Linked DNA regions of Saccharomyces cerevisiae S288C. Changing the gene in region 1 together with any one later gene gives a genetic interaction. Each region holds a gene or a part of one and is shown on either strand. Other genes may lie near its edges.

Region 1 (7,702 bases):
TTTAGGGTTATTTATCATTTGCATTTGTGAAGGGGACAAGATAAAGGACGTACAAGAACCAAACTTTAATATATTTGCAATTCTTTTTGAAATTGTTAGCGCTTACGGTACAGTTGGGCTATCGCTAGGTTATCCGGACACCAACCAATCGTTTTCAAGACAGTTTACTACATTATCTAAGTTGGTGATCATAGCTATGCTGATCAGAGGCAAGAATAGAGGTCTACCATACTCACTGGATCGTGCAATTATCTTGCCTAGTGATAGACTTGAACATATTGACCACCTTGAGGGCATGAAATTGAAGAGACAGGCTAGAACCAATACAGAAGACCCAATGACGGAACATTTCAAGAGAAGTTTCACTGATGTGAAACATCGTTGGGGAGCTCTTAAGCGTAAGACCACACATTCCCGAAATCCTAAAAGGAGCAGCACAACGCTCTAACATATATACTCATTCTTTAGAAATAGGTTTTCGTACTCAATATTTAAGAAGGTAATTAAGCATTAAAAGGATTTTTTTTTTTTAACCTTGATTAGTAACATTGTGATATACATTTGCCTACGTACATTTCTGATGTCCTAAGATTTCTTTCTTTTTTTCGGTCCCTTAAAGACAACCGAATCTCTCTACGATAATGTACGACATACAATGTCCAAAATGGTGCTTTCGTCATCGTCAACGCCATTAGTACATTGTCCCTCTTTTCGTGAAAAATGAAAAATCTTGGTTATTTGCAGTGTACATGGAATATGGACTTTTTTTTTTTCTCTGTGGCCCGCCGGTGTTCTCCGATGAATATTAAAAGAAATGTCACACAAACGCAATGACTCTTTTTTCCCTGGCCTTGAAAAAAAAAAAAACGGTAAAAAAGTAGGACAAATGGTATGGACAAAAAGTATAAATACTTTGACAAAATCCCCACTCATCGATTTTACTCAGAGAGAGAATCCTCTCTTTCCTTCTCTATTTTGCTCAATTAGTATAATATCATATCTAGTATGTTTTAACTACACCAATTTTCTTTCAAATTATCGTCTTTCCTAATGGTCTTGTATTTTTATCTTATTCTTGATTGTAGAAAATAAAAAACCTGTCGACAACAACCACAAACAAAAGGTTTCCTGAACATTTTCTCTACGGAAGCACTTGAGAAAGAATTGAGGAATACCGCTATATCTAGCCAAAAAAACTTATAAATACTTCTACTCTTTTGTTAAAGACTCACCACGTTCAACTTTGAATTGAAAGAAAAAGGAAACATTATAATCCGTTAGCATTCAAATTTGAGTATGTTTTTTATGATTACTTTTGAGAAGCCTTAATGTTGCCATCTATTCAGACCATGCGATGCCAGTCGCAATATCAGTGGGCGCGTATTTTAGTATCTGGGCGTGGAAAATAGAAGCCGTTTGACTCTGCGATGATGTCGTTTTTCATTACCTGGAATAGGAAAGAAAAAAAAGAAAGAAAAAAAAAAGAAAAGAATCGCAATTGATAGAGATCTTCATGGCACGAAAGCAAATCAATCTCTTCAATTAGTTCTGATTTTATATCGGCATCTGGCTTGAACGATCAACAATTACTAACATTAATATTAACGACGATAGAAATCCATAACTAATTGCAGCATACAACACATAAACCTTACCTAATAGAATATAACAATCATAATATGGCCACTATTGCTCCCACTGCTCCAATCACCCCTCCAATGGAATCTACGGGTGACCGTCTGGTTACGTTGGAACTTAAGGACGGCACGGTCTTACAAGGTTATTCATTTGGTGCTGAGAAATCCGTCGCTGGTGAATTAGTTTTCCAAACTGGTATGGTTGGTTATCCTGAATCTGTGACCGATCCATCTTATGAAGGCCAGATCTTAGTCATCACTTACCCATTGGTAGGCAATTATGGTGTCCCAGATATGCACTTGAGAGATGAATTGGTCGAAGAATTGCCAAGATATTTTGAAAGTAATAGAATCCATATTGCCGGTTTAGTTATTTCTCACTATACCGACGAGTACTCTCATTATCTTGCTAAATCTTCCTTAGGTAAATGGTTACAAAATGAAGGGATCCCAGCTGTTTATGGTGTTGATACAAGATCATTGACCAAGCATTTGAGAGATGCAGGTTCAATGTTGGGTAGGTTGTCTTTGGAAAAAAGCGGCTCTGACAGAACCATCTCCAGATCTTCCTCTTGGAGAAGTGCGTTTGATGTTCCTGAATGGGTGGATCCAAATGTTCAAAACCTAGTTTCTAAGGTCTCCATCAATGAACCTAAATTGTACGTTCCTCCAGCAGACAATAAGCACATCGAATTGCAAACCGGACCCGATGGTAAAGTTTTAAGGATTCTAGCCATTGACGTGGGTATGAAATACAATCAAATTCGTTGTTTTATCAAAAGGGGTGTAGAATTGAAAGTTGTTCCATGGAACTACGATTTCACTAAAGAAGATTATGATGGTCTGTTTATTTCAAATGGTCCAGGTGATCCATCTGTTCTAGATGATCTATCTCAAAGATTGTCAAATGTCCTGGAGGCTAAAAAGACGCCAGTATTCGGTATTTGTCTCGGTCATCAATTGATAGCAAGAGCTGCCGGTGCATCCACCCTAAAACTAAAATTTGGTAACCGTGGTCATAACATACCTTGTACATCAACTATAAGTGGTCGTTGTTACATAACATCTCAAAACCATGGGTTCGCTGTGGATGTTGACACTCTAACTTCCGGATGGAAGCCATTGTTTGTTAACGCGAATGATGACTCTAACGAAGGTATCTATCATTCTGAATTACCTTATTTTTCCGTCCAATTCCATCCAGAATCCACACCTGGCCCAAGAGATACAGAATTCTTGTTTGACGTTTTTATCCAAGCAGTTAAAGAATTCAAGTATACACAAGTGTTGAAACCAATCGCTTTCCCAGGTGGCCTATTAGAGGATAACGTTAAGGCACACCCTAGAATCGAAGCGAAGAAGGTTCTAGTTCTCGGTTCTGGTGGTTTGTCCATCGGTCAAGCTGGTGAATTTGACTACTCTGGTTCTCAAGCCATCAAAGCTTTGAAAGAAGAAGGTATCTATACAATTTTAATTAATCCAAACATTGCTACCATCCAAACTTCGAAAGGGTTGGCTGATAAGGTTTATTTTGTTCCTGTTACTGCAGAGTTCGTGAGAAAAGTTATTTTACATGAAAGGCCGGACGCCATTTATGTGACATTTGGTGGACAAACTGCTTTATCTGTTGGTATAGCCATGAAAGATGAATTTGAGGCGTTAGGAGTTAAAGTATTGGGTACTCCAATCGATACTATTATTACCACGGAAGACCGTGAACTCTTCAGTAATGCCATTGACGAAATTAATGAAAAATGTGCGAAATCTCAAGCTGCTAATTCAGTGGACGAGGCATTGGCCGCTGTCAAGGAGATCGGTTTCCCAGTTATTGTACGTGCTGCATATGCATTGGGAGGTTTAGGTTCCGGTTTCGCTAATAATGAAAAAGAATTGGTTGATCTATGTAATGTTGCATTTTCATCCTCACCTCAAGTTTTAGTCGAGAAATCTATGAAAGGTTGGAAAGAAGTCGAATATGAAGTTGTTCGTGATGCTTTTGACAACTGTATTACTGTTTGTAATATGGAAAATTTTGATCCACTAGGTATTCACACCGGTGATTCCATCGTTGTAGCCCCATCTCAAACTTTATCTGATGAAGATTACAATATGTTAAGAACTACTGCTGTTAATGTTATTAGACACTTAGGTGTTGTTGGTGAATGTAATATCCAATATGCTTTAAATCCCGTTTCTAAGGATTATTGCATCATTGAAGTTAATGCGCGTTTGTCACGTTCCTCTGCTTTAGCTTCTAAGGCTACTGGTTACCCATTGGCCTACACTGCGGCTAAGTTAGGTTTGAATATCCCATTAAATGAAGTTAAGAATTCCGTCACAAAATCCACATGTGCTTGTTTTGAACCTTCTCTAGACTACTGTGTTGTCAAAATGCCAAGATGGGATTTGAAGAAGTTCACCAGAGTTTCTACCGAATTATCTTCATCAATGAAATCTGTTGGTGAAGTTATGAGCATCGGTAGAACCTTCGAAGAAGCTATTCAAAAAGCTATCAGATCCACAGAATATGCTAACCTCGGATTCAATGAGACAGATCTAGATATCGACATTGATTACGAGTTGAACAACCCTACGGATATGCGTGTCTTCGCCATTGCAAATGCTTTTGCTAAGAAGGGATATTCTGTTGATAAAGTCTGGGAAATGACTAGAATTGATAAGTGGTTTTTAAACAAACTGCACGATTTGGTCCAATTTGCTGAGAAAATTAGTTCATTTGGTACTAAAGAGGAATTACCTTCCTTAGTTTTAAGACAGGCTAAGCAGTTAGGTTTTGATGACAGACAGATTGCAAGATTTTTGGATTCCAACGAAGTTGCCATCCGTAGATTAAGAAAAGAATATGGAATTACACCATTTGTCAAACAAATTGATACAGTTGCCGCTGAATTCCCCGCTTACACGAACTATTTATACATGACATACAATGCTGACTCACACGATTTATCCTTTGATGACCACGGTGTTATGGTCTTGGGTTCTGGTGTTTACCGTATCGGTTCTTCTGTCGAATTTGATTGGTGTGCTGTTACTGCAGTTAGAACATTACGTGCCAACAATATCAAAACTATCATGGTCAACTATAATCCAGAAACTGTTTCCACAGATTATGATGAGGCTGATAGACTATACTTTGAAACCATCAACCTTGAAAGAGTTTTGGATATTTACGAGATTGAAAACTCAAGCGGTGTTGTCGTATCAATGGGTGGTCAAACTTCCAACAACATCGCCATGACTTTACATCGTGAAAATGTAAAGATTCTTGGTACATCCCCTGACATGATTGATTCTGCTGAAAACCGTTACAAGTTCTCTCGTATGTTGGATCAAATTGGTGTTGACCAACCAGCTTGGAAAGAATTGACATCCATGGACGAAGCTGAATCTTTTGCCGAAAAGGTGGGTTATCCAGTTTTGGTACGTCCATCTTATGTGTTATCCGGTGCCGCCATGAATACTGTTTATTCTAAAAACGATTTGGAATCCTACTTAAACCAAGCCGTCGAAGTTTCACGTGATTATCCTGTTGTTATCACTAAATATATTGAAAACGCAAAGGAGATTGAAATGGATGCAGTTGCAAGAAATGGTGAATTGGTTATGCATGTTGTCTCTGAGCATGTTGAAAATGCAGGTGTCCACTCGGGTGATGCAACATTAATCGTTCCACCTCAAGATTTGGCTCCTGAAACTGTGGATAGAATTGTTGTCGCCACTGCTAAAATTGGTAAGGCTTTGAAAATTACAGGTCCATACAACATCCAATTCATTGCAAAGGACAATGAAATCAAGGTCATAGAATGTAATGTTCGTGCTTCGAGATCTTTCCCATTCATTTCAAAGGTTGTTGGCGTCAATCTGATTGAATTGGCAACAAAGGCCATAATGGGTTTGCCTTTGACGCCTTATCCTGTTGAAAAATTACCAGATGATTATGTCGCCGTTAAAGTACCACAATTCTCTTTCCCACGTTTAGCAGGAGCTGATCCAGTCTTAGGTGTTGAAATGGCCTCTACTGGTGAAGTCGCTACTTTTGGCCACTCGAAGTATGAAGCATACTTAAAGTCTTTGTTGGCAACCGGCTTCAAACTTCCAAAGAAGAATATTTTATTGTCTATTGGTTCTTACAAGGAAAAACAAGAATTGCTTTCTTCCGTACAAAAACTATACAACATGGGATATAAATTATTTGCAACATCAGGTACTGCTGACTTTTTATCTGAACATGGTATTGCCGTCCAATATCTGGAGGTTTTAAACAAGGATGATGATGATCAAAAATCAGAATACTCACTTACTCAACATTTGGCTAATAATGAAATTGACCTTTACATCAACTTGCCTTCTGCCAACAGGTTCCGTCGTCCTGCATCCTATGTTTCAAAGGGGTATAAAACACGTCGTTTGGCTGTCGATTATTCGGTTCCGTTGGTTACTAACGTTAAATGTGCAAAATTGTTGATTGAAGCCATTTCAAGAAATATCACTTTAGATGTTTCTGAACGTGATGCACAAACTTCCCACAGAACTATTACCTTACCTGGTTTAATCAATATCGCAACTTATGTTCCGAATGCATCCCATGTTATCAAAGGCCCAGCTGAACTGAAGGAGACCACACGTCTATTTTTGGAATCCGGTTTTACATACTGTCAATTGATGCCCAGATCCATCAGCGGACCTGTTATTACTGACGTTGCATCCTTGAAGGCCGCAAACTCTGTTTCCCAAGATTCATCTTACACTGACTTTTCTTTCACTATTGCTGGTACAGCACACAATGCTCATAGTGTTACGCAATCTGCTAGCAAAGTGACAGCATTGTTTTTGCCCCTACGTGAATTAAAGAACAAGATCACAGCAGTAGCTGAACTTCTGAATCAGTGGCCAACTGAAAAGCAAGTGATTGCAGAAGCTAAAACTGCAGATTTGGCATCGGTTTTATTGTTAACCTCCCTTCAAAACAGATCTATTCACATTACTGGTGTTTCGAATAAGGAAGATTTAGCTTTGATCATGACGGTCAAGGCAAAAGACCCTAGAGTGACTTGTGATGTCAATATTTATTCTTTGTTTATTGCCCAAGATGACTATCCGGAGGCAGTTTTCTTGCCTACTAAGGAAGATCAAGAGTTTTTCTGGAACAACCTTGATAGTATCGATGCTTTCTCTGTCGGTGCTCTTCCTGTCGCCTTGGCAAATGTCACAGGTAACAAGGTTGATGTTGGTATGGGTATCAAAGATTCATTACCACTATTGTTGGCTGCTGTTGAAGAAGGTAAATTAACCATTGATGATATCGTCCTTCGTCTGCATGACAATCCCGCTAAAATTTTCAACATCCCTACTCAGGACTCAGTTGTCGAAATTGATTTGGATTATTCTTTCAGACGTAATAAGAGATGGTCACCATTCAACAAAGATATGAACGGTGGTATTGAGCGTGTTGTCTATAATGGCGAAACATTAGTTTTGAGCGGTGAATTAGTTTCACCAGGCGCCAAAGGAAAATGCATTGTTAATCCAAGTCCAGCTTCCATAACTGCTTCCGCAGAGCTCCAATCTACTAGTGCTAAAAGAAGGTTCTCGATCACGGAAGAAGCAATCGCTGATAATTTAGATGCCGCGGAGGATGCAATTCCAGAACAGCCTTTGGAACAAAAATTGATGTCTTCAAGGCCACCAAGAGAACTTGTTGCTCCAGGCGCCATCCAGAATTTGATCCGTAGTAACAATCCATTCCGCGGAAGACATATATTGTCTATCAAACAATTCAAACGTTCTGATTTCCATGTGTTGTTTGCTGTTGCACAAGAACTAAGGGCAGCTGTCGCAAGAGAAGGTGTCTTAGATTTAATGAAAGGCCACGTTATTACTACAATTTTCTTTGAACCATCTACTCGTACTTGTTCTTCATTCATTGCTGCTATGGAACGTTTGGGTGGTAGAATTGTAAATGTTAATCCATTGGTGTCTTCTGTCAAGAAAGGTGAAACCCTTCAAGATACTATCAGAACTTTGGCTTGTTACAGTGATGCCAT
Region 2 (3,726 bases), on another chromosome or scaffold:
TTTAGGTATTTCCATCCCTGCTACCTATTACTTTGACGGCTTTATGGAGAATTTTATGGATTCCATTGGTTATTATTTGGCTATTTATATTGCCATTGCATGTTCAGAGCATTTTATTTATAGGCGTTCCTTCAGTGCTTACAATATTGATGATTGGGATAATTGGGAGCATCTACCTATCGGTATCGCAGGTACTGCTGCCTTAATTGCTGGTGCCTTTGGAGTAGCGTTGGGTATGTGCCAAACTTATTGGGTTGGTGAGATCAGTCGTTTGATCGGAGAGTACGGCGGTGACATTGGGTTCGAGTTAGGCGGAAGTTGGGCGTTCATCATCTATAACATTGTAAGACCTTTAGAACTCAAATATTTCGGTCGATGACTAAATGTTAATTGATTAATATTTTTGCTAATCATTGAAATGATTGGTTTTAATGGATAAATCTCGACATTCGAATAGATAGCATATAATTCAAAAACGATTATAATGGGATATATATATAAGTTTAATAATATTAACTCCCTTCCCATTTCTTGAAGAGAAGAGATGTGTTAACTCCTCCAAATCCGAAGCTGTTGCATAATGCGTACTTCGGATTAGCTCCCACAATAGGTTTGTCTCTTATGAAATGTAGCTTATCGGCCTCGTTATTTTCTAGAGTCAGAACATTGTCCAGGTTTAAGGTATGCGGCATCTTATCATCCTTCAAGGAACAAATTGTAAATATACTTTCTACGGCGCCAGCTGCACCTAAAAGATGGCCAATTGCACCTTTGTTACTGGATATGTACAGTGGCTTGCTTTTGGATCTTCCTGGTAAGAGTGCTGAGGCTACTGCCAGACACTCTGCTTTATCGCCTAGTAAAGTTGATGTAGCATGTGCATTGACGTAGTCAACATCAGTTGGTTCTAATCTAGCCATTTTTAGAGCCATCTCTATTGCTCTTTTGGCACCATTTCCATCAGCAGGAGGGGAGGTAATATGGCAGGCATCACTGCTTAAACCATAGCCCACGAGCTCAGAAATTATGTTTGCATTTCTCTTTTGAGCATGTTCTAGCGATTCCATGACAATCATTCCGCATCCTTCACCAAGTACGAATCCAGAACGTTGTGTATCAAAGGGTCTAGAGATCCCGTTTGTAGTAATCGACTTTGCTCTGATGAAACCTGCTAAACTTAACGGATGCAAACTCGTTTCACTTGCACCGGCGACACAGATGTCTTGCATGCCTAACCGAATAAAATTGAATGCATCGCCAATGGAGTTATTACCTGTTGCGCATGCTGTGGAAACACTATGGGATAATCCTCTAAGGTTAAACTTGATGGAAACATTACCAGCTGCCATATTTGTAAGGATTTTAGGGACGAAATATGGATTTATTCTTTTATTGTCGTTATGGAATTGTAGAGAAGTTTGGTATATGTCTTGAATGGATCCTATACCAGAACCTATCAGGCAACCAAAGTGATCCAGATTGCACAGAGATGTATTGATGGTTATATCATTTGGGTTCAAGAGACCAGCATTGTGAAGCGCTTCATAAGTTGTACGTAGTGCTAGCTTGATAAAGCTTGAGGTTCTTCTCTCATCCTGGCTAGTGAACAGCAGTTTATTGATGGCTGAATTTTCGTTTTGAAAATTCTCTGGAATCTTCCCCACTGTTATCGTTGATGGGATACTTTTTTCTCTGAGTTTGTAGTCCTCATTATAGTTGGGCAAAGATGTGATTGGTGTGAGTCCATTTTTGGAAGAGAGCAGATTCCCCCATGACTCACTTAATGATCTTCCCAACGGCGTTACACAGCCCAATCCTGTGATAACCACTCTTCTTGACATTTCTTTACTAGAAATTAAATTTTAATCCGTTGTGGCTCCTGTCACTTTCAAGTTGCTAATAACCTGATAACGTTTAAGGATTTTACTTCCTTTTTTATCATTTATTTTTCTGAGATGAGACAGAGTCAGAAATAATAGCACACTATATGTTTTAAAAAAAAAAATCTATCTACGTATTTATTTAATCAATAAGATGTGATTTTATAAATGTGTCGTTTTTTAGCATCATTACTTGTTTTGTGGCGAATATAGAATAGGACTGTATCTGAGAATTATTACTCAAATATGTTCGATTTTAGAGGATTACCATTTCAACAGATCGTCCTTAGCATATAAGTAGTCGTCAAAAATGAATTCAACTTCGTCTGTTTCGGCATTGTAGCCGCCAACTCTGATGGATTCGTGGTTTTTGACAATGATGTCACAGCCTTTTTCCTTTAGGAAGTCCAAGTCGAAAGTAGTGGCAATACCAATGATCTTACAACCGGCGGCTTTTCCGGCGGCAATACCTGCTGGAGCGTCTTCAAATACTACTACCTTAGATTTGGAAGGGTCTTGCTCATTGATCGGATATCCTAAGCCATTCCTGCCCTTCAGATATGGTTCTGGATGAGGCTTACCCTGTTTGACATCATTAGCGGTAATGAAGTACTTTGGTCTCCTGATTCCCAGATGCTCGAACCATTTTTGTGCCATATCACGGGTACCGGAAGTTGCCACAGCCCATTTCTCTTTTGGTAGAGCGTTCAAAGCGTTGCACAGCTTAACTGCACCTGGGACTTCAATGGATTTTTCACCGTACTTGACCGGAATTTCAGCTTCTAATTTGTTAACATACTCTTCATTGGCAAAGTCTGGAGCGAACTTAGCAATGGCATCAAACGTTCTCCAACCATGCGAGACTTGGATAACGTGTTCAGCATCGAAATAAGGTTTGTCCTTACCGAAATCCCTCCAGAATGCAGCAATGGCTGGTTGAGAGATGATAATGGTACCGTCGACGTCGAACAAAGCGGCGTTAACTTTCAAAGATAGAGGTTTAGTAGTCAATCCCATTCCGAATATTGTTTTTATTGTTTTATGTTTTTCCACTGATCTGGTAAACACTAGCTGGTTGGCGCTATTAATATGAAAAGAGTTAGACCAAATTGAGTAGAAAAGAAACCTTTGGCAATCCTAACTATGTTGTTTTAGCTTGTGTATTTAAGCGCATATATATATATTTCTGAAAATGACAACATCAAAAGAAACGAACTTATTTAGAATAAAAAGAAACGACTTGGCTTCTTATTATTCCTACTTTACGTCACGTGGGAGGCCCGTTTAGGGGGGCAGCTATGTAGTTTTTCCGAGCGTACTTTCTTTCAGCATCCGAAAAGTCCTCACTTGACGGCTTACACGGAAACGCCGCGGATTGTGGGGCACAGATGATGACGCAGACGGAACACTGCAGAAATCTTTTTACCTTGTCGTTAAAGACGATATTAGAGAGAAGAGTTTGGCTGGGGACAAAGTGCCAGCTTTTCGTTCAGGGCGAGGTGCCAAAATACTTGAGAAGGCCAAACCCCAAAGGACAGGGCCAAATACGTACGCTACGGTAATATCTAATGGGAGAGGGTATAACATTGACCATTTTCGAAGGAGGCATAGGAATTTAGACGCTGATGGATGTTATCAATATTGAAGTTTTTCACCGTTTCCCTCTTTCTCTGCTCCTTTAAAGAACGCAAAGTCTCCTCTTGAGAGAAAGCAGACGATTGGAATTGGTATCTTTCACGTAGCATTGCTTAACCTACGGCCATATTAATGATATGAAGTCATATGAAAATGGCCGAGGCCAGCGGTTCATTCGAGGATATATATTTTATTACCCGGCGTCTCTAGC

What was found.
Region 2: mutations in URA2 (region 1) and CEM1 together harm fitness more than expected from each alone (negative genetic interaction), as found in Saccharomyces cerevisiae (3 studies listed by BioGRID).

The regions. Positions count from the first base shown.
Region 1 is NC_001142.9:166,345-174,046, reverse strand, and holds the start of URA2 (bifunctional carbamoylphosphate synthetase/aspartate transcarbamylase), read left to right. Parts: upstream 1-1,679; coding exon 1,680-7,702. Other genes in the region: TRK1 (Trk1p), read left to right, coding at 1-448. UniProt on the Saccharomyces cerevisiae protein: Multifunctional protein that encodes the first 2 enzymatic activities of the de novo pyrimidine pathway: carbamoylphosphate synthetase (CPSase; EC 6.3.5.5) and aspartate transcarbamylase (ATCase; EC 2.1.3.2).
Region 2 is NC_001137.3:277,786-281,511, forward strand, and holds CEM1 (fatty acid synthase CEM1), read right to left. Parts: upstream 1,842-3,726; coding exon 513-1,841; downstream 1-512. Other genes in the region: FCY22 (purine-cytosine permease), read left to right, coding at 1-379; glycerol-1-phosphatase GPP2, read right to left, coding at 2,145-2,897. UniProt on the Saccharomyces cerevisiae protein: Possibly involved in the synthesis of a specialized molecule, probably related to a fatty acid, which is essential for mitochondrial respiration. Is essential for oxygen uptake and the presence of cytochromes A and B.